Linked DNA regions of Styela clava. Each later gene encodes a partner of the first gene's protein in a complex. Links are inferred from orthologs where the notes say so. Each region holds a gene or a part of one and is shown on either strand. Other genes may lie near its edges. The genes, in order: exosome complex component RRP43-like, exosome complex component MTR3-like and exosome complex component RRP40-like.

Region 1 (7,773 bases):
TATTATGTTGTTGTTGTTCGTTGTCACAGAAAAAAATCAATTTTCTTTCTGAGTACTGGACCAAATGCTTTGAAATTTTCGGAGTAGACTGTATACGATACTACACCGTGTCCATATATTTGAGCATCGATCTCTTGTTATTTATTGAAATTTGTATGTCTTGGTAAAAAGTATGGTGACAAATAAACTACTGATTACTGATCGTACCAGCTTACTTCTCCTAAGATTCTCAATTCCCTACAAAATCCTTGATTTACAATTGCTCACCTAACTCTGTTGCCACATTTACACCAACTTTTGGTTTGATATCCAGTTCATTATTTGTCTTCTGTAATCTGGCATCCATGGATTTCTGCTCAAAATCAACCAGAAATAATGAAGAACTCTCTTCATCTGGCAACAGGTTTCCTGATGACATTTTCTCATAGAGTTTGGCTTTGGCCTTGAATAATAAAATAAAAACATTTTACTTACCGTATATGACAATGTGTAAGAAAGCTGATGAGACCGCTCAATCATAATGACAAGTCAAAGCCAATGAATTATGAACGAGAATATCAGTCGGAGACCAAAGACTTATCGATCAAAACTGCAGTTTCGATTCATGACTCTATAGTGAATCCGCGTGTCCCATAACTAATTAATTAATACCTCGCTAATTATGAGACATAATTCATCCAAAATCAATAGGCTGCTGGTCCGAGATATGATGAATGCACACGCAAAGTTTGGACTAGATTCAACTACGCCTTCGTGAGATATCGCGTTCATCTAACAGACAGACAGATACCTATCAACATACTTACCAATCTTAAGATCGATAGGTAATAAGACGGTGACCTAAGCTTAGTGCATTGCATGTGAATAAAACCTATCTTTGAGCAAAGTCACATGCACTCACTCAAAGTAAAGGATACTCATATCTGAGCAAAGTTACAAACAGTCACTCTGGAGTAAAAGAGACTCATCTCTGAGCAAAGGTAAAGAAATCAGCACATAATAGAAAAATTTTCTTCCAGGGAATGCAAAACCTATAACCTCATCTCCAATAATCGCAAAAAACAACAAATCCGAAAAGAAGGTATAATAGTTTTTATTACAAAAGAATTCATTTTCACCTCCAGCACAGATTTCACCATTTTCCCTTTATCTATTTCTTCAGATGTTTCGGCAATATCTCTTGCGTTACGTTCTTCAACTCCCGGATTCTTCTCATTTTCAGGTACTTTCCCCTCCCCATTTGAAGAACTTTTCAATTTATGTTGTTTTCTGATTGCCGATGTAACTATTTGACCAGATTTCTTTGAAGTCACCTCCTGTTGTTTTTTAAACAGTTCCGATTTTAAACTGAACATGTTTGTTAGCTAAGAAAGGAAGTTGGCAATGATTAGAAAGAGCATAAAGAGGGTGTTTGCTCACACAGAGTCTTGTTTAGAGTGTAAAAATAGTGCACAAAAAGCATAGCATGAACGTATGATTGGATTTGCATAGAGGAAGCTTAAAGTCCCCTATGGAAAATTTGGTTTGCAGTGGAGAGAGAAAGCAATAGAGTGCTGAGGTTCAATACGATAGATACAACAAATAAGATTTCCCTTGAAAACGAACACCACGCTTACGGCGAAAAGTGGCTATTATTCAGGATTATTCAAAAATCAGACGAAAAGGTATTCAAATACTTTGATATTTATTTGATTCGTTTTGGGCAAACCTGGTGATAATTAGTTAAATAAATATTTGTTTGAGTTGATAACAGAAAACTATATCGCACATGCTAACTTGCGGTTAACACAATCAAACTTTACTACCAAACGCAGAGATATATTGACATATAAAGCCACACCTCTCCTTACATATACCTCATGTTCAAGTCAGGAAAGAGAATATTCACGTTACCAGCCTATTCATATGAGCACCTTGTACCTACTGGTCAGTTTTAATTAGGATATTTATTCTAAAATCCTTCATTTATGCAAATTTTGCTTTAGTTTATTATTATCAGAATAAAAATATTATTGAAATTGTTGCAGCAATGAGTGCAACTTTTGACCGTTCCGCGTTGCTGCTTTTATACATTTTTCTAATTGTTTGTCTCTGAGGGGGAACCCCCCAGGCCTGTGAAGATGACACAATTTGCCTTGGTCATCCGTTACTATGGTAACTACTCCCGATGTCATTTCCTCTTCCTTCAAAGTTGGGTCAGCAATTAGATGAGTAGAGTCGAATAACACAAAAGTTGAAGAAACTAGCCTTTTTCGAACTATCAACTTTGACCTCTGTTCCGGGTCAGCGAGCGTCTCTATGACATCATTTTCTTCATTGTATTTTATTTTTGGCAACGTTGTGCTCTCGAGAGCGGCCACTAAAGCCATTATACAAGCATCATTTAAATTTCCATCGTAACTCAAACAAACAACATCACAATATAAAACCCAGACCAGTTTGTCTTTAAAAATACATAATTCATCAAGATTTATGACATCACAAGTCTTTATGATGTCATTAAGAAGTTGGCTCGCAACTTGTGCTTGTTCGGACGGTGGACCGGGTTTGAAATGAGCCGCACACATCGGTGATAAGTCCACATTCGGAACAATAATTCCACAATCTGGTTTCGAAGCAGGGGGTTTCGTAAGTTCACCTTTGACCCCACAAACGACCATGGTATTTCCCATTTGCACAAGAGCAGAGCCGTCCGCTGTACTAATAGATCCAACGTTAATTGTCATTTTTCTAAATTTTCCAAGATCTCTTCCGTCCGGTCGCACGTCATTTTTCAATACCTCTTTGTAATGTTCCAAAGGCAATGAAGCTTCAAAATTACTTGTAATATCTTCCATAGTTAAATTAGTTACGTAGAAAATCTAAAATGAGAAAAAGCACAAAAATTGTAGCATTTAAATTATAAATAATGTTACATTTTTGAAAAAAAATCTTCTAATAGCATCGCAAACTCACTCAGAAGTAATAAAGATATTCCGAATTGGGTCATGCTCAAGAGAGAACACACAGAAGTCAATGCATATTTGAAAAGTTTGAATTTGGAAATGCACTAAAGATGGCTTCCTTGTTCGTATCGTGAGACCTCAAATGCTCAAAGAAACTATTCAAAATTAAAACAAATAATTGAGCAAAATGGCAAAATAATATTTGAAAAATTAAAATTTACCAACTTGATGCAGTAATAACTAGGGCTGGGCAATTTCGAATACCTGATGATTTCAGAATCGAATCGAATCTTTTTTTCTAATCGAATCTCGAATACTTGGGTCAATGGGAGATATGTAATTGTATGCGACTTTTTTTTATTGTAATTGGTCCTGTCAACAAATGAATTACTGAAAACATAGAATACGTCACTCAGACAGATTGCGAAGCGTTCACACACAATGAGAAACACTATTTATCAATACCTCACTACAGAAAATAGTCATATGTCAACAATGCATTGAAAAAATATGATTTCAATAAAAAAAAAATGGATAATTCACCTGACCATGGTCGAAAAGAACAAAAACAAGATGGCGGCGATTCAAAATTTTGCTTTGAACCGATTCGAATAATTTACTATTCGAATCGATTTGAAGTGCCCAGCCCTAGTAATACCTCTAAGTAAACCTTAATTTGAAACCTGACCTCCCACAGATCTGATATTTCACTTTAGGTTTCTAACTTGGATGGGAATATTGTACTTGAATATTCAGAAAGTGACTCATATACCAGTGTAGGCGGTCAGTTAATTACATAATACACTTAGCTATTTTAATAGCTAAATATCTACCACCTCTTAGATTTGGAAACACCCCCCTAAAATAAAAAGTTAAAAAGCTTATTACTTTACACAGATGACCTAAGACTCGATGGGTATTTCAGTAAAGTTTAAAAACTAGTGCCAGATTAGCTTTATATCAAGTGGCTTTGACAACTTTACTTTTAACCTCTCTTGGAGGCTGATAATTTGGAGTCCAGGGTCCTTTAGATTGACGAGCATAAAAATCCATAGGGTAATTCCCCTCCCACGGTTCTATGTCTTTGATTGCCACAGCAGCCTCGTACGGGGTCAAGAGGGGTGTGTCAAAGGCAAGGCCCCAATCAATGGACAAACGGGGGCAAGCAATTTGAACCCATGCTCCAACATCAGGAAATAGTTTTAATTTTGACGGAAAAATTTCTGAAAGTAAGATTTTTACAACTCTTCGTCCAGAGTTAAGAATTCGCTCTTCTAAATGGTCCAGAACAGTCGTAGATCCCTGGCGTCCCAAGGTACCTAAAATCAGCCCCCACGTTTCAGCTTTTCGTGCTTTCTCGATCGCGTTTCTTCGCACTTTCTGCATAGCTAAATGGTCGTACTTTTCGATCGTAAAAGTCTTTGCATATGGGTCATATTTGTAAGCCGGAATTTCTGGATTTGAAATCATCATAGATTCGAGATGAAACCTGCCGTCTCCGAGATAAATCACAGCGTCACATTTCACATCGCCAACATTCGGCGAAGTACAACCAAGAATTTCACCAGGCGTCAACGGTTTGATTTGTGGTATATTAACATTAAAACCATCCTTCATCAATTGGTTTTTGACTGCGTGTAGAGTAGCGACAAATTGCACGGTGCTGACTAGATACAACGCTTGTTCACGTGTAAAATTTTCTCTCACTGTCGCCATCAAATGTTCAATATCAATCTTAATATCAACGAAAATATATAACATTTTGATATCAGGCATATTGTTGATAGGTATGAGGCAGCTATGGCCATAGTGAACCATGAAGTCACACTCCAGCGCACGTGCAGAAAAATCATCAACGCAGCATGCTCCGTATGTTGTGTCACCCATTATGACAGTTTCCGCTTGAGTGAATTCCTCTATGATGTCAGAAATGGTACAAGCGAACATCAAAAGTCCGTCAGGAAATTGTAAAGCGACGCGTTTTGCTCCGTTCTGCCTGATCCGCCATATTGTTTTGTGAATTTCAAAATTGTAATTTGAAGGAAGATTTGAAATTGCAGCAGCCAATGAGGAGTCTTCTAGAATTTCAGCTGGAATTTGATTGGCTGTTATTCTAGATTTTGGCCCAACCCGTTTTCTTGTTGGATTAGCTTTAACAACTGCAGTTTGATTTTCCATTTTAAATAAATATAAACCTATATTTAGATAAATAATCTAGTGTAAAAACAATGATTTTATATTGAAAATGAAAAAAAGTTCAACTTCACAAACTGTGATAGAAGCTTCCATATTTATACTCAGGGAGGGGGAATGCAATAAGACAGCTCACTTATTGGCAGACCAAGGCGTTGGTCCTGTTACCAGCTCAGGTTACACATAGAGATGATTTATTTACCAGTTAAGTACTCCAGATGCATAGACTGACTAAATAGATATAACCTCACAGATGATCTCAGGGCAGTGGCATCAGAGTTTGTCATATTTTTATTGAAATTAGGGCGCTCCAGAAGTGTGTGTATCAATATGGAAGTAACTAATTTTGTTCGCATACTTTACATCAAGTTGTGTAAAGGGACTGAAACCTATAGGCAGGGGATATATTCACTTGGCTAACACAGACAGTCCCGATCTCGTAATGGAACTAAAATAAGAAAAATCTGAATAAAATTATGACCTGACCCTACCCTGGTACACACACAACGAGAGTACCACATTTATGGCATAAATACCGATCCAACTCTAATAGAGATAGAATAGAATAATATAGCAAACAACTATAATGACTTTATATTGAAAATGAGAATAAAAAATAAAGTTAAAGAACTAATGTGAGAAGTCTGTGGGGAGCATGGACAATTTTTTGAGAGAACAAGAGTAAAAATATTTCTTAGATTTTATATTGTCCGTCTTACTTTGGATATTTACATTTCAAAAATTTTCATTGATATTATTATTTATGTTCCATTCACGTATTTTTTGAATGAAACATACTCCCGCCTTACTAGCTGTTATTTGTAGCCTCTTGTTAGTTAGTTATTTTTGAGAGGGGGACCTGACAAATTCTAAAAAGTGGGTGTGGCTTAAAAAGAGCAACTATTTTTCCACAACTCTCATAGTCATATGGCACATACAGTACGGCACACTATACAAATCGAGTGACATTGCCTCGTTTCTGAGAAACCCATTTTACAGATGATCAGACACCCCTTCTTTGGGAGACGTCTGGACATTGTTGTCCCTCAATATCGGTAATAATACTGTATAATGAAGTTGCGCAAAATACTACAAAAAAGCGCACTTCAGTAACGTCATCATTGAATTCCTTGGAAAAAAATAATCCGATTTACCGAAGGAAAAAAAATTTGACCGTAGCATTCGAGAGTTTTTAGCAAAAACGGCAATTTTGGTCATGTGACGCCCACGATTATTTTAGATTATTATCGAGACAAGCATGGCACGATATGAAGCATCTGACGTGGTCCCAGACGCCCCTCGTTGGTGAGACACATAGAGTGTTTGTTTCATTGAGCCAAATGAGGGGGAAATTCTTGGAATTTGGATAGTGTGCTGTAACGACATATGTCAAAAATACAGACTTACAATGGTAATAATCGACTAAATCGACTAAAAAATCCTTCACAACGGATATTCAAAGGTTTCGTTGCAGTCGGGAGTTGTAGCCAAAACTTCCCAGGGGGGACCAGAAGCCAAAACTTGCCCACCTAGACTGGCGGGCCATGTGAGTGAAACATAAAAAATTACATTTTATGAACAATATCTACAGTATCACAAAAGCAAACATGTAAAACAATAAGCTTCATGCCCAAACTAAATTTACTCACAATCTCAACAAATCCTGAGCTTTTTTTTTTGCTAAAACATCAAAATTTGGTTTTAGTTTGGTTGTGGCAGCATCAGGTGGGCCAGACAGAATCACCCAGCAGTCGTAGTTTGTCCATGTCATATTTAGAGTCATTTCCAACGTATACTCGACTAAAACATGTGTTTTGTGTCGAAGTGGAAACGCCAAAAAGTTTCAAAAATAGTGATTAAGATTGGGATTTTATACTGTCTGGGTAGAATATTTGGTGCTCCAAAAGTGTGTGTACCAATATGGAGGTAACTAATTTTGTTCGGCTACTTTACATCAAGTTGGGTAAAGGAACTGAAACCTATGTGGTATATTTACTTGGCTGACACAGACAGTCTCCGAACTCATAACAGAACTAAAATAAAGAAAATCGGAAAAAAATTGTGGGATAACCCCAACCTGGTACACACCACTACGGCAGTACCAAATATTCAATGGAGGAAATTTTCGTTGGAGCTTTCAGAAAGAGAGATTTTTTTTAGAAATTTTCACTCAAACTAAACATGCATGGAAGGTCTGTATTTCTTAACGTCCAGAGATTCGTTCGTCTGAGAAAAACCAGTCCCGCCACGTTGCAACGGAATAATATCTCGTTTTTCATCTAAAATTTCATTGGTTATAGGGTGTCTCATTTCGTTTGGTTTAATTAATTTTTCAACACAATCTGCAGTAACGACGTCGCCCGTCGGACGCAAAACAACCGACGGTACAGAGTTCCCTAAAGTGTCATGGGTGACTGCACACATCCAACGGTCCTTTTTACTAATTAGCGCAGTTTTTGTGTCCCGATCAGCAATTGGTGTAAATTTCACCGGTATTAAATCTTTCATTTTGATCGAAGTGTTATTTATCGGACAATACACCTTCGAACTTGGTTTTTTAAAACGACTTTTGCTTGCCGCTGGCGTTAGCTGCGGGATCCAGAAGCTTGTTAATTCTTTCTTTTTATCTCCGTAA
Region 2 (8,761 bases), on another chromosome or scaffold:
AGGCACAAACATACAAATTGCAATAAATTAAATTATAAATAGGCCATATTTCAGGTGGAGGAGACGCGAGAAACCAGTACCGGTTATCGAGCAGCGGCACCTATAAAATAAGTCTAACACTATATTATACAGAAGAAAAAGTCGAACTAAGTTTAAATAAATTGAGAAAAAAATACATCGAGTCAATCGACTGATTATTACAGGTTGGCTCTAAGTTTTTAACGTTTTATTTGTCAATGGCGCCTTCCGCCCACTTGCATCCAGAACGCGATATGGTACGTCTCATGAACCCTGAAACGAATAAACATTTTTTTTTCTATAATTGTGGTTTTTCCGTGTGGGCTGTGTTTATAATGACCAAGAGTATATTTATTTATTTATTTAGCAAAATCGTGCTGCTAAAAAACAAGAAGTCTTAAAACGTGTTTCATTATAAAATTTAAGCTCAAAAAAGAATTTAATCGTACTTAGCAAATTGCGTCTAACATTTTTGTGTATAAATACAGTAACGTATCCAGTCGCATGTGTATAAAATAAGAATATATACTTTGATATGATAACATCATGTAAGTATTGCAATAAAATATTGTATACATGTCAAAAACATGTATGCGTAAATACCAAATGATAACAAAATACTTTTCATACAACGCAATAAAATAAATTTCCTAAATATCCGAAAAATCGTCAAATTGACCCAAAATTTGAACAAGACCAACCTTTGAGGCTTGAAAAATATTTGGGATATGGATTGACATCTTTAACATGTTTTCAAACAAACAAAGAAATTGAAAAAAAAACTCGATCAGTTTTCTAACAAAATACTTTTATACAACGAAATAACGTAAATTTCTTAAAAATCCGAAGATCGTGAAATTGACCCAAAATATAAACAAGATCTGATTTTGTTTTATTTCTTTATTTGTTCAAAAACATGTTGAAGGTATCATTAATTCATACACAAAATATTTTTTGAGCCCCAAAAGCGGATCTTGTCCAAATTCTGGGTCAATTTAACAAAGTCGGATCTTGATCAAATTTGGTGTCAATTTAATAAATTTTCAATTTCTTTTGTAAATATTACGTTATTTTGTTGTAATAGATATATTTTGTTGAACCTCTCATTCGATCATAAATGCTGTGTGTTATCAGATGATAGATACATAATAATGTTCAATTTACAATTCTACATTTCCGTGACTATTAATTAGAATTTTAGAAATATGTTTTTATGACAGCGTATTATTTGCTGAAGGATTTTGCTGATATGACAGTGGCAATTAGAATTGCAGTGATCGGCGTGCCTTCGCAGTACAAGCAGTCCCATTGAAATTGTCAATTTTCCAAAATGGACTACTGAAGCCAAAGGTTTATCTTGCTTTACACTTGAGCAATTATTTGGCCAAACTTGTTCTTTCTTCGTCAGCGAGCAAAACAGCGTTTACCAGTTTACCAGAGAGTTTATACCATTAATATATCAGTATATTGATGGCAATGTCGCTTTTGCGAACGACTGATTGCAGGATTGCCGTGATTTTCACATTTTACTGTTTTAGTATGAATTAATATCAATTTATTTTTTTGATTTTTATGGGTGTTTGTGTGAGACTGTGAGGGATTGTGTGAGTCGAGGGCTTAGTACAGTAAAGCCATACGGTAACTGTGCAAATAACGCTAAACAAAAATGTGAATTGAAATTTTAATGTAGCCTAATTAAAAAATATCGTAGTCTATAATGCTGTATGTCGAAGAAAAAAATTCTTGAAGCACACGTTTAATTCAAATTAAACCTGCTCAATTTTCAACTAAGCTGGTACTGTATGTATGTCCTATGCCGTTTAGGGTATTGCAGTATTGTGTACGAGCATGAAGGACTTTTATTTTAAAAATAGAATGAAAATTTGGGTAGTTCTGTAGTTTCACATCACATTTTTGTTTAGTGGTATTTCAGTATTTAAGCAAGGATGTATAGGCTAGATTATTCTATATTCCTGTATTCCGACTTCCAGATATTGCGTTTTTTATAGTTTATTTGTATTAATCTGAGCGAAGCATCTTGAATTTCCAACTGTCAGACTGTAGTGGCACTTGTTTCTTGACTGGTATTTATGCTTTATTTTTGTTCTTTATTATTAGCTGTATTACTGCTGTACTGTTTCACAATACGGCACAGTTTTCCAATTGCAAGAATAGCCCTACATTGAAAAACATCAATCATAATAGTGGGTGTGAACCAATCCTTTACGACAGGGGTGTGCAACCTTTTTTATTGGCGGGCCAAATACAAGTAACTGGGTGAAGCCGCGGGCGCACCTTTATTTAATTTAGGCTTTCTGGTAGTTGCAAGCACAAAAATTGCCTATATTTGCTATTGATCTTACGGCATTATTAGGGGTTCTTGCAGAAATAGTAGATTTAAAACGCATAAACTTCTGAAGAAACTGCTATTTAAATTTTTTGTCGCACCGACTTCAAACGAATGCAGTGAGAAACACGTTTTTGTAATATAAATCGTGTATTTTGAAACAGAATTTTGCTAGCTTGTTTTGCTAATATGACTGGTATGGGCTTTGGCCCGCGCATTCGGCCCGCGGGCCGCAGTTTGCACACCCCTGCTTTACGAGACAGTCTGGGCGTCGATATCTGTTCCAGAAGGAAGTGCAATCTAAAGACATCACCATTGGATTCTTTAATCAGAACATAATATTGATTTACTAAAAAAATTAGATTTCGATAGTTTTTAGCCAAAAATCGCAATTTTGGTCATGTGATGGACTGATGGCGGAGACATATCACGCTTGATTTAAACCATCATTGAGACTAGTATGATGCTCTCTGATGCATATGCCATTTCAGGCGATCATAGCTATACTTTTGCAAGCTCTATGACAGGATTGCGACGTCGTAGTGACCTAATTTTTTGCATGGCGTAGTCAGGTGGGGGTTAGGATTGGCATGTGCAAAAATTGTTATGCTATGCCCACTGGAAGTACTTGAGGTACGAAACTACTCGAGACCTGAATATTCTATAAAGTAAATTTAATATTTTTTTTATACACAGCTGAGACAAGTATTGTGTAACTATTGTGCTAAAAATGGGTAAAATTCGAAGAAATAGAACGAAATTCCACTTGTCTACAAAAAATTCACAAATTGAAGAAAGCACAAATCAAGAAATCGGAGTACCCAAAGACTTGGATACTATCCAGCTTCCTCCTTTGTCACTAAATCCTTTCAGTGGTGGTCAGATTTCAACTAGTTCCTTTGATCAAAAGGAACATGAGGAAAAGAAAATTGATTTCACTTCAGATGTAGCTTCTGTAAATGTTCAGGAAAAATCTGCTGCATCTAACATTCATCTGAATAAGAAAAAAAGAAGAAAATTAAAACGTCAAAAGTTTTTGGAAAAATTAGAAGTGACGAGAGTCACAAAAGAAAGCAAAAAAGCAGCAAAGAAAAGATCAGATGTTCCTGTTGTTGGTGACTTGAAGCCAATGTCTCTCGCTTTGAGTGATATAACTAAAATTATCAGCTCTGTTGACGATAGTCAAACTGATGCAAAAATTGTTTCAACTAAGAAAAAAAGAAAACGAAAACCAAAATGGCTGAAAGAGAAATTGAAAGACACAGATCCATTAGAAGGATTTAAGACAATTAATGAAAAGGGAATAACGAAAATACAAAGTAAAAGAACTCAAAAACACATGGTTTATGAAATTCAAAGACTGCAAAAAGTTGTATCGGATAAAAAATTTAATGGTGTCAATTTGATTTTGACAGATGCGAACACAAAAAACGTGGTGTAACGTTTCAGAATTTTTTTGACCCTTTTGCAACTATCCATCATTTCATCATGTAGTGTCACTGGAGAAGCCAGTGCTTGGGGTTGAACTGCCCTTATTAAATTTCAGGAAGACAGAAAAAGTGGCTAATGAGCATGCTGTGTGATGTAAATTGTAAAGATTTGATTCAGTAATAGAATCAATTAGGATGTTTCCGAAATGTAATTGGCCTTGACTGCTTAGGCAAGAAATAATTTACTAGTTAGTATTGAATTCAAATATTTAGATTGTTAAGTTCTTGTTGGTAAATCTGAATTTATAATCCAATATTTTTTTTGAGAATTCTAGTTACATATATATGGTTATGAAAATAGAGCATTTCAGCAGAACTGGAAAGATATTGGATTATCTATTACGAACATAGAACTTGTAAAATATGCAACAATGTAACCTGATATGCTAATACCTATAAAGGATACTCAACATGATTTCGGCAATCACTGGCCAGTTGCAGCTTATTCCATTATTTCTGATTGTCTGGCAGAAATATCATTATCTAAAAATAATTCAATACTTGGGTTTATCTTAACTGAATGAGAGTTTATGCTGTTCTAGTGATTGAGACTTCATGCCAGCTTTTTTTCATATAAAATGATTTTTAAAATTTCATTCTTTCCCAATTTGGATTAATTGTATCGTGTCCATATTAATCAAATGGTAACTCTGCTTTCAGGTTTTATGCAATTATATTACACAGTACTTTATAATGAATATGCTGATGAGCCTTCGAAATGCTGGAGGGAAGCTTGTGGGTGGACTTCAATCAAGATTATTAGTAAGTTCTATTACATGTGTGCGGAGCAAGCACACCTTACCTGATCTGCCTTATGATTACAAATCTTTGGAACCGACAATATCTGAAGAAATAATGCGATTACATCATTGCAAACACCATGCTACCTATGTAACCAATCTAAACGCAGCAGAGGAGAAACTTGCTGAAGCTCAAGTAAAGAGCGATGCAACGGCAATAATCAATCTCGCTCCTGCTCTCAAATTCAATGGTGGCGGCCATATCAATCACTCCATCTTTTGGACAAATTTATCTCCGGATGGTGGCGGAGTTCCTCAGGGAGAGTTAGCTGAAGCTATTAATCGTGATTTTGGCTCCTTTGATAAAATGAAAGAAAAGCTTACTGCATCTACTGTCGCTGTTCAGGGTTCTGGCTGGGGTTGGCTCGGATACAATAGAGAGTGTGGAAGATTAGAAATAACGACTTGTGCTAACCAAGATCCATTGCTTGCAACTACTGGATTGATACCACTTCTCGGAATCGATGTCTGGGAACATGCTTATTATCTTCAATACAAAAATGTTCGTCCTGACTATGTTAAAGCTATATTTGATATTATTAACTGGTCAAATGTTTCAGACAGATTTGAAACAGCGTCAAAATAAATGTTATTTACAACAATAATTTTGGTTGCCACTTTGGTATGCGAACTCTGCATTTGTGTGATCTTAGTGATTTTAGAGGGTTAATTCATGTCTTTATGAGATCGCATACCAAAATGGCACCCAATTTCGTTTTCTATTCACAACTAAACTAATGTGATATTCTGTTGCAAAATATTCATATTTTTTTTTTAAATATATCGAAAGCTTCAGGTGTTTGAATTTGTTTGAATTACTATTCAATAATGTAATTGGTAATTGTTCATAAACAGTTATTCCATCGTTGAGGTAAAATCTGTTTAATATTGTATAATTTATCACAGAGATTCACAACTAGTTACATTGCAAAGTTATAGTTATTTCTTGCGATTATGCCTACCGATTCAAGAAGAATACCTGCTCCGGAAAATAGCTTCAGTCCAGATATATTTATTTCTGATAATAAGAAAACAACGCAGTTATTGGGTAATTATGATTTTTGAATTTATCTTGTTGTTTTTGCTCATCATGTTTCTGTTGTTTCAAGGGCTGTGAAATTTGGTATGTGTTTGCCGAATTCATATTCTTAAACTTTTCAAAGCCAATGTAGAAATTACGTTAACTTTAATTGTCTCATAATTTGGATGAGGTGTAAATTTCTCCTGATTCTTCAGCTAATTGTAATCATGTATGATTTAAAATTATGGGACGCAATTTTACTCATGTATTCATCACAGCTATTGAGAAATTTACCAATGATCTATTTTTTTGTATTTTTTACTGCCCATCTTTTTAATATATCGGTCCATGAGTTAGTTGGTTAACAGAATCCTCAAATACAAAATTAAAGCAACTTTTCTTTCATAGAAAATGGCCGTCGTTTTGATGGAAGAAGTTCAGATGAAGTGAGACCATTATTTTTGAAAACTGGTGTCATATCACAAGCTCGAGGTTCATCATATATAGAAATGAAAAATACCAAAGTTATTTGTGCTGTATATGGACCTAGAGATATTGGAAGAAGAGATGATTTTCAAATGGAAGGTAAACTTGATTTTGCATTGATTTTTCATGTTTACAAGTTAGTTGTAGCCAGAATAAATCTTATCGTAATGTTGTTGAGTGTGATATATTCAAGACGATTACGAGTCAGCATGACTTTATTAGTATGTCAGGCAATGTCTTTTTTAGACTGGGCATTTCCAAAAGTATAATATTCGAATCAGTATAGAGCAAAATTCCAAATCACCATCTTGTTTTTTTTTCTTCCCGCCAATGGTCAAGCAAGTTTTTTTTATTAAAGCCATATTTTTTCGACGCAAATCCTACATATGACCATTTTTCGTAGTGGGTTATTGATAAAGCGTGTTTCTTATTTTGTGTGAATGATGTATTCTATGTTTTCAATAATTCATTTGTTGACAGGACCAATAAAAATATACTATAAAAATGTGCATACAATTATATATCTCCCAGGTATTCAAGATTCAATTCCCAAATAAATATTCAATAGGATTCTGAAATCACCAGGTATTCGAAAATGCCCAGCCCTAGTCTCATTTAGATAGGAATTTATTCATCATCCAGTTACTGTATTAGCCAACAAATCAAATAAAAACACAAATATTAACAACATTCAATAAGTAAAAGAAGGATAATCGACTAACAACGGAATTGATAGGAGGTTGGAAGGACCATACGGTCACTAAATCAAAACAACTCTCCTGGCACGAAAAAGGTTGACAGATTACATTTTATATTTTACCAATTATAAAACATTTTAACTCGTAACTAACAATCAAGCAACAATAGTAATGTGACACATATGAGATGAACTTTGAAACAGAAGTGGCGAGAAAAAGCGTTTAATTTTATATCACACAAAATAAAAAGGTACAACTTGAAAAGGTATGAATCACTACTTATTCAGAAAAGACTGGAAATACTTCTTGGAAAAAACATTAAAACTGGAAATTTCTATTAGGTTTTCGTAAATACATTTGAACGTCAGTTTTTTTATCTTCTAACAGGTGTGTTGAAATGTGAATTCAAATTTGCTCCATTTTCATGTAAACAAAGAAGAGGTCATATACGTGACAATCAAGAAATGGAATATTCACAAGTATAATAAGTTTTTTGTTGCTAGATCTTCAAAGCATATGTTGTGTTACTTGTACACAGTTTATTTTACTAGCGATCTTGAAAAAATTAGTTTGAATGGAATTTGCAATTAATTATATTTGTAAAGTATGTAGTAATATTCTATATTACTGGTTTGAACTACATTTACTTGCTTTGATGAGCATTCTCTAATTTGGTGAAAAAACAATATGTGGCTTAATAAGAATCTTGGCTCAACTATTTGTTTTTATGTGAGTGTACAATTGCACCAATCAAACATTCATATTTGAATTCTAAATAGGTTATTATCAGTAGTGTGGTTTTGTTGTTATCTGTTTCGTTTTCTCACTCTATCAGAGAAAGAAATCTAGAAATATAGCATCGAACTTTTTTCAGATTTTAGCACAAGCTCTTGAGCCTGCAGTATTGATGCACAAATTTCCAAAAGCACAAGTTGATGTTTATGTCACTGTATTAGAAAATGATGGAGGTTCTCTAGCTGCTGGTATCATGGCGGCATCGCTTGCATTAACAGACGCATCTATTGAAATGTATGATATGGTTACATCCTACAATGTACGACTATCAGGAAAGGTATTTTATATTTATTACTGGACAAGTGTCTATTTATGTTATGATAACAAATACTTTAATTAAGCTGCTTGACTTAGTAACAGCCTAGGAAATGTTGTGCCCAACGCCTCTATTTAGCACATTTACCCTTGTTAAACAGCCTGCAAGTTTTAGGAACACCCTCACATTGCTAAGCACGAGGGTCGGCTTAAGCTTTGAGCTCTGGTTTATATAGTCTTGTGAGATACCGAGGGGAGCCCTCTCCCATAGTCTGGTAATGGCATTGGTGAAGCATGGAAATGTAATGAAAGATAGGATAAATATTAAGTCTCAACTTCCAATCTATGTTTATGTGGAACACGGTACTCCCGTCACTGTTGGTTTGGACTTTAGTTTGCGAATCCAGGAGATGTATATTGTTCAACTAGGGAGAATTGTGTCTGGAATGTTTCATTGGAGTTCCATTCCAACAAAAAGGTTGAAAACTACTACTCTATTCCTATCTTTGTGTCTTCCAGAATATGTTAATTCATGATCCAACAGCGTTAGAAGAGTTTGATTCCAATACAAGTGATGGTGCGTTATGCATAAATCAAGGAAATGTTACAGTTGCCCTTCTCCCACTTTTAAACCAGGTGAACTAAAGATAATATTGAATAATAATGAAAGGGATATACGAAGAAATTTTATTGTTTTTGAAAATTCTTCGCCACTGATATGGGAAGCTAGCTGGCAGTGGATACCTGAGCTATTTAGTTTAGTATTGTTCCTCTAGTTTACTTATCCCTTTTACAGAAGATGGCGGATAGTGTGACTGTGATGGCTGATGACTCAACTGCGTTGGCATCGC
Region 3 (7,428 bases), on another chromosome or scaffold:
TTCAACATATTCAACGTCAAGTCCTATTTCTGGATCGACTTCGTCCTTTTCATTATCAGCCAACTCAGGTCCTAATTTATCAAGTTTCTGTTTTGCTTTGATCATCGATAGTGCATCCACTTGAACTGAGAAACAATAGAAAAAATAGTTTTGAATTTACACTTATTGTGGTCAAAACGGGGCCAACTAAGTTGGCATTGCAGCTTACACATCTTTGGTTTAAAACCTTTGCCCACATACCTACCGAGCGTGTGATAAGTTAGGTAGGTAATGTTGATCCAGAATGAATTATGTTCTTTCAAAAATGAAGGTTCATACATAACAGGGGCTGATTATAGAGGGCCTTGTTGGAGCAAATAGGCCTGAAATAAGTGTCATACATAATGTTATGTCATTAAAGATAAGAATTCAGTGACAATTTTTGTCAAAGATATAGATCTTTCAGGTTAAATATTTTTACACCTGATTTCTTGCTGTCTGATTCATTCTGGACAAACAACAATACAAATTTTGTATAGGTTACTTATAAATGTATTGTGGATGACCTAAACCAATATATAATAAATCTTACTTGCTGAATCGCTTTGAATTTCATCACTGTTGGAGTATAAAATATAACATATACTTGAGAGGATTAATAAAGTCAATACCACTCCTCGTTTATTTACCTCCGCACTCATGGTTGCGTTGTTTATTTTACAATATGCCAAGCATTTATATTTAAACACCTGAATTACATCTTGAAAGTGAAAAATAAGACAGTTAACCTAGAAATATTGACAGTGTTAAAAAAGGCGCATTTACCTCTTATGGGAGAAAGAATTTTGCATGACCTTAAAGAATATTAAAAGCCAATTATAAGAACATAATCAGCTTTCAAGGTTACAAAGGGTATTTTTTATTCAAAAATCAGCAAAACAGTTACTTAGACTGTTAGGAGTGTTGCAATACGCATGAGTTGTTTGATGTTTTTGTTATTCTATGGATAACCCTGTTGTTCAGATAATATCTGAAAAAATGGAATATTTCAATTATATGACTATGAACTTATAATGGGTACATTCTCACTAACACCTAATTTTAGCTTCTTGATTGAAACTTGAGGGCAGTCAAACCACGACATCAACCTTTTCAAAGAGAATTCGCAAATTGAATATGATTGATTATCTGTTATTTATCCAATCAGGAAGCTAAATATAACACCCTATTCATAAACAACATATCTATCCATGTAAGGTATCTCGAAAAGAATTCTAAAACAGGTTCTGAACATAATTACTGTAGTTTAAGAGACATTGGTATGCCCACACAAATTAGCAATAACAACAAGAATTAATTAAAAAATTCCCGCAGGATGGTAATGTTGTTTAACAACAGGTATACATGTAACATGATACAAAGCATGAAACGATGAAATAAATATTAGCATCACAACAAGCATGTAAAATAGGTGCAACATGCATATGCTATAATACAGAGAATTTAGCTTTTAAAAAAATTCTTTCTCCTTGATTATCGCATTCTCAATTGTATGTTTTTTTTACAGTTCCTGTATGCAAGCATCTCAATGTTCCATTACATGGAGATCGTACATGCAAAATGATTGATTTACCAAGAGGAAGAGCTCTTCGTTGTACCACTCAATGTGACAATGGATATAAACTTGTTGGCAGTTCGTACAACACTTGCATGGAAAAGGGAATTTGGTCGGGCCAGCCTGCTGTTTGCAAAGGTAATTAAACTTACTGAATTTTTTCATGTATGTTTGTCCAAACTAATAAGCTTTTAACTAAAAGTGAAAAAGTATTGACAGAAAATCCATAATGACCACTGATGTTATAAGAGCCCTACATAGGTTTATCCCAGAAACAGAGCATATTTGCATAAATAGAACAAATTTGCCATTATATTAACCACACTGACAATGAAAAGTTGCCGTGACTTTACTCTGCCTTGGCTATGATATGATTATGTAAAGATTGGTTATATAACCAACTCGTATGTAAGATGAATGCTTGAAACTACTTAAATATGACATTGGATATTTGAACACAATGACAATACTCCAGTTCAATCAGCATTATTAATTGTCATTCTTTATTGTCACCAGTTACTTTGTAGAAAAAGGCTCGTTTCTCATTTTGTTAACGAGTATTTAAGCAGTTTGCCAGTTGTCTGCTGTATTTGAACTTAGTGATTCTAGAATTTGTTCATTTGTCATATATTCAGCTGTTGTTATCATATTCATTATAGCAATAATATGTTTATCACTGTGGCTTGTTAGGTGAATTTTACCATTCATTCCTATTAGGGTCTCAAAACCAAAATATTTCCCCATTTCTGGCAACAAAACACAATCAGGGGATAAGATTTTCCTAACTAGATTAAGTGGAACTGTTATCAACAATCCATTAGAAGGTACAGGACCCATTCCATTTGCTTTTCCTGAGCTTTGATCAATGCAACTCAATTCCGGCTCCATGTCTTTGTTTGCAGATATTAGTTTTCCAAATACTATATCTCCATTTACAAGATTCGGTCGATTTCGTTTCGTAGCACCCTCAAAAAATAAATTATTAAGAACGACATAGTCGCTACTTCCAATGTCTACTTTGTAAGCATCACCAATTTTACCAACAATAACCCCCAAAACGTTTTCACCCTTAATTGGAACATAACGTTTCTGATGACTGTCTATCCAAAACATGCTAGGCTGTTTGTGTCGTAGAATCCCAGACTTACAAACGACAATACTGTCATTCCCTTGTCTAAGACCAGGTCCGAGTTTTACTCTTTCATTTTTGCCGATTAAATCCAATACTTGTTCTGTTATGATGTCACCAGGCATGACAACACTTGCATCTAACTCTTTGGCTGGACATTTCATTTTTAACAGTGAACTTAAATTAGGCTAGGTAAGAATAATACTATATGGAAGGAAGAAAATTGGTGTTAATAAAACCAAAGATCAAACGGGTAAGAACAATGTGGTCCGGAATAATCGGTCCGATTTAAAAAAAAAAATGAATCTTTGCTATTTCGACTAGGTGATTATACAATTTTATGAGTGGTCTTCTGGTTTAATAATGCACAAAATTTTGCCTTTTTCATCTAATATTGAAAATGTATATTAATTTCATTGACTCTTGTTCAGAATATATCAAATGGTATATAATACAGTAATATTTCTTTCAAATTTTAATTGAAAAAAATACCTAGTCCAGAAGTTTCCAAACGTTTTGTTTGTGAGACGCCAAATTATCAGGGACAAAACTTACGGCACGCTCTCACGAAAAAAAAATGCTGCCTTTGATAAAACTCAATTTTGTAATAGTTAATGTCTACTTTATGCCTTTAAACTTTGTAAAATGGTAGGCATGAGGAATAAAGGCAAAAAGTCAACTCTTCTTCTTCAGCTCTGCCTGATTTTTTTTTAAAAAAGTTTAAAAATCTCTCATGTTCGCTAAACTCAGTTCAGCAGATCAAAAAAAACTAAAGCTCGTGAAATTGCATGTCTATTGTTATGTAACAATAGAGGCAGACACTACTTAACAGAAAGTAAATAACATAGAAACTTGTAAAATGATTTTATTGATTCAGATACACAGCATTTAAAATAGGAAACAATGGAACATTTATAATAAATTTACTATGTAAAATGGCCGTGGTTCGCCATATGGATAAGCCATCTCATCGCCCTTCCTCTCCCCCGGGATAAATATGTAAATCCTATCCTAAAATATTCAATCATATATTAGTTATGTTTAACACAATTCTGTTAATTTTTAATTATTGTATGACAGTGATGAATATGGGCAATAAGCCACAACAGACTAAAATAGAGCTGGTGTAATATAGAACCATACATTTATACAATCCTATCAGCATATGATAAGAGTACTTACAGACTTAAGAGTACCGGTACAGTTGAGATAATACTGCTTACAACATCTGGTCTGGCGTTATTACTCAACAATTTGATAAAATCCCACAAACTATTATATGCTTAATACTGAACATAATTTTTAATTTCTGAAATACATAAATACACCTTCAGACCTTATAATACAGCAAAATATTACTGACATATCAGTTTGGCATAAAATAGAGACTTTTCATCTCTGCAGAAATACCTTTATGTAAAGCCCCCGCGGCTAAAACTATATTCTGTGTTATTTGATATGTAGCCACGATTTTACCAGTAGATTAACTTCACATATATCTACATACATTACAGCCTGTGTAGCTGATAAAACCGACCGCTTTTCCCAGCGTCTAACAACGTTATACGTTTACTGAACAGCCGAGTATCTTCGATAACTATTGTAAATAATAACGACTCGCTTCGCTTCGACAAACATTAATTGTGCCAATGCGGTGGCGCAGAACAACCACGTGTGTGCGAAGCCACGCCTTTTGATGACTTGCTGGTACTGTTTGCGGTCGATGTTGATCTACCTTACCGCGTATTGCGTGTTTTACCGTATAATGTTTTTGTTGGATTTAATAAAACGCTTTCCTAATTTTCGTTACGAATGAAAATATTTTTTGTCAATTGTTAACCGATGCTGATGTTTATTACGTCAAGACGATCAATTGCTGAATTTTTGTGAGATACACACAATTTAAACTAAAATGAGGATTATTTATTACTTAATTTTTATTCGCTGCTATGTAATAGAACAATAATAGATAAAAATAACAGAAGTTTTGTTCACACCTCAGATTACTCTAATTTGTGTCTCTTTGTAGCAGCAATTCTCATACTCATTGGTGGGGCGATACTCCAATGAAACGTTCCAGAACCCATGTGAAATAGTTTTATTGTCAGGATTGCATTAACTTATATATATATATATATCAGTGGCGGCGCGTCAATAGAGCCAACCGGGGCAATGCCGCAATGCCCCGGTTGTTTTTTCGGTATAATAAAAAATATTCGAAAAATACCTCAATATCGGTTGCACAGACTGTCTACACTAGCCATATTCTCCCGACATGGTTCATTTTTCGCTCGCAAAGCCTTCGCCGAACGTCGACGGGGCGACTCCGATTTTGCCCGGGTTGCTCATTGTATATCGTATTCTCTCTTTTATCTTTCACTCGCCGCGTTTGTCTCGTTTGTTTTCTGTTTCTTTTACTAAATCATCGGGGCTAGCCCCGAAATTATGACGACACAATGCCGACGTTCTTACAACAACGTGTTGACATATTCACGCATTCCTTCTCGTTCGTTGGTTGCTTGAAGAGTTGATAGTTTCCTCGCCTTCGTTTTTGTCGCTTGTTTCGCTATTTGAATCAGTTAGAGACCTTGAGTCCATTTGCTTTCGATTTTCCACATTCCTTTTGAGCTCCTCACTTCTTTCCGGCTTCGCATTTCTTAGCCTTAGACCTCATAATGAAAAAGGTTGATGCACTACTTCGCACTCCGTTTTCGCAGCTGCCGCTGGAACAAAAATTAGAGGTACAACGTCTTGGGCCTTATCAACCAAAAAATTGTTCACTGGAACAATCCCATGACGGAGGAAAGCGTCGGCGTACATTCTGCGCAGAAACTTGGTATAAAAAACACGAATGGTTGTGTTACAGCGAGGACAAAAATGCACTTTTTTGTTTTTATTGCCTACTTTTTGCTACCGCCCGTGACTCACGTTGGTGTAAATTTGGTTTTGGAGATCTTAAACATCTTTCCGAGCGTGCCAGGGATCATCAATCTTCTATGGAGCATCTGGACAATGCAGTAAAATACCGAACATTCGGAAATGTTAATATTGCAGCACAGTTGGATGAAGGACGCGCGGTTTCTATTCGTCGGCACAACCAAAACGTCGAGAAAAACCGCCATGTTCTCGGTCGATTGATAGATGTTTTGAAGTTCATTGGTTGTCACGAGCTGTCCCTCCGTGGGCACGATGATGGGTATTTTTGGATAAAATAAACTATGTTTATATTTATTAATCCCTTGACTTGGACCGGTTTTAAAGACACTTTCTTATCGTTAAAAATTGTCGCTTTTGCCGATTGGTTGTTACCGATGGAATGATTTTTATACTCATAAAATGATAAGAGAACTTACAGCGCTCATCCTGCCCCCGTAGATGGGGGTGACTTGGTCCCGCAGTAGCTTGCCCCGGTTGTCAAAATGACCACGCGCCGCCACTGATATATATATATATATACCGTATATGCAGAAGCAAACCTAATATTGACAAAAATAAAAGATCTATAATGAAAAGTGTAGCAAGTTTGATAAAAGTGGCAAAACTAATAGGCATTTTATTTAATCTGAACGATATATATATATATATACAATGAAAATAGACTCGGAAACTCGCGGAACCCCTGGAATGTACTTTCAAGTCAACCCCAGTTGGAAAGCGCTAGTCTATAGTTTGTTTAATTAGTTTAATTTAGCATTGCATTTGGCATCATCTCGAACAGATTTTTTTTGTAATCTGTGCCACGATGAACATTACTTCAAACTACGAAAGAATTGAATTTTTCACGATCCAATGTCCTATAAACTGCTTTCTATATCACCGCCTCGGTCGAAGAAAATTCTTGTTTACATTTCCTCTTAAAGATGCATACTAGTCTACAATAATCAATCATTATTCTTTGACTCATTACAGCGGCGTCAACTCGCCAGACAAAGAAGATTCGGTTTAAATTCCGGGAACATCAAACACTACCTTGCGGAGAAGTCTACGGCCTCGCATCCTTCCGTAAAAATGGAGTCGTTTATCTAGTTGCTGGCGACAAGGTATGAAGAAACGTCTGAGTAATTCGACCCCCTTATATTACAATCGAGTTGTCATTGACAGCTCAGACTATTGTCAATGTTTTTGAAAGACATTTGTTTATTCCATACATAGCTCGGTCATCAATATACTTATATAGGCTAATCTATAGTCATCTTGACATCCTTAACAAATTTTATTATTGGACACAAAATGGGCCTATAGATCGTTTTGGTATTTTTGTTGTTATGAAAAAAATCGCTTTTCTCTCCAATTACTGAACGAATTCAGTGGTTAAAGATTGTATTTGTTGTAAGAAGGCTATCAGTCTTATTTATTTCACAAGGTTCTGTGAGCCCTTTGTGATTCTTTTTTTGTGTGGTGTGTGTGTGTGTGTGATGACGTCATTAAAATTAAAAATTGCGCATCTTGTGGCGGTTCCGCGTTCGCATTGGTAGCTTTCTGAAGACTGTGGTACCGGTAGTCTGCTGCTATTATTACGTATCGATTTTAATCGCTAAGTATGTTGATAGGTATTTGTTTGTCTGTCTGTCTGTTAGATGCACGCGATATCTCACGAAAGCGAGATTGAATCTGCTCCAGATTTTGCATGTGCATTCATCATATGTCGTACCAGAAGCTTATTGATTTTGGATGAATTATGTCGTATTATTAGCGACTTATTAAT

Evidence for each region.
Region 2: exosome complex component RRP43-like (region 1) and exosome complex component MTR3-like share a complex: the UniProt entries of both Homo sapiens proteins name them as parts of the RNA exosome core complex. The link is inferred for Styela clava from reciprocal best matches to the Homo sapiens genes EXOSC8 and EXOSC6.
Region 3: exosome complex component RRP43-like (region 1) and exosome complex component RRP40-like share a complex: the UniProt entries of both Homo sapiens proteins name them as parts of the RNA exosome core complex. The link is inferred for Styela clava from reciprocal best matches to the Homo sapiens genes EXOSC8 and EXOSC3.

Annotation. Positions count from the first base shown.
Region 1 is NC_135250.1:31,192,343-31,200,115, forward strand, and holds exosome complex component RRP43-like, read right to left. Parts: upstream 2,862-7,773; 5' UTR 2,838-2,861; coding exon 2,010-2,837; 3' UTR 1,365-2,009; downstream 1-1,364. Other genes in the region: coiled-coil domain-containing protein 174-like, read right to left, coding at 268-442, 1,119-1,355; 2-(3-amino-3-carboxypropyl)histidine synthase subunit 1-like, read right to left, coding at 3,906-5,123; nitric oxide synthase-interacting protein-like, read right to left, coding at 7,314-7,773. UniProt on the Homo sapiens protein: Non-catalytic component of the RNA exosome complex which has 3'->5' exoribonuclease activity and participates in a multitude of cellular RNA processing and degradation events.
Region 2 is NC_135259.1:16,252,092-16,260,852, forward strand, and holds the start of exosome complex component MTR3-like, read left to right. Parts: upstream 1-5,566; 5' UTR 5,567-5,609; coding exon 5,610-5,703; intron 5,704-6,084; coding exon 6,085-6,261; intron 6,262-7,247; coding exon 7,248-7,339; intron 7,340-7,734; coding exon 7,735-7,932; intron 7,933-8,429; coding exon 8,430-8,546; intron 8,547-8,761. Other genes in the region: uncharacterized protein LOC120338528, read left to right, coding at 3,096-3,806; superoxide dismutase [Mn], mitochondrial-like, read left to right, coding at 4,549-5,241. UniProt on the Homo sapiens protein: Non-catalytic component of the RNA exosome complex which has 3'->5' exoribonuclease activity and participates in a multitude of cellular RNA processing and degradation events.
Region 3 is NC_135256.1:11,221,853-11,229,280, reverse strand, and holds exosome complex component RRP40-like, read right to left. Parts: upstream 2,924-7,428; 5' UTR 2,888-2,923; coding exon 2,156-2,887; 3' UTR 1,733-2,155; coding exon of another isoform or gene 1,547-1,732; 3' UTR 739-1,546; downstream 1-738. Other genes in the region: putative protein-lysine deacylase ABHD14B, read right to left, coding at 1-125, 572-680; uncharacterized protein LOC120328953, read left to right, coding at 1,547-1,732, 6,633-6,763. UniProt on the Homo sapiens protein: Non-catalytic component of the RNA exosome complex which has 3'->5' exoribonuclease activity and participates in a multitude of cellular RNA processing and degradation events.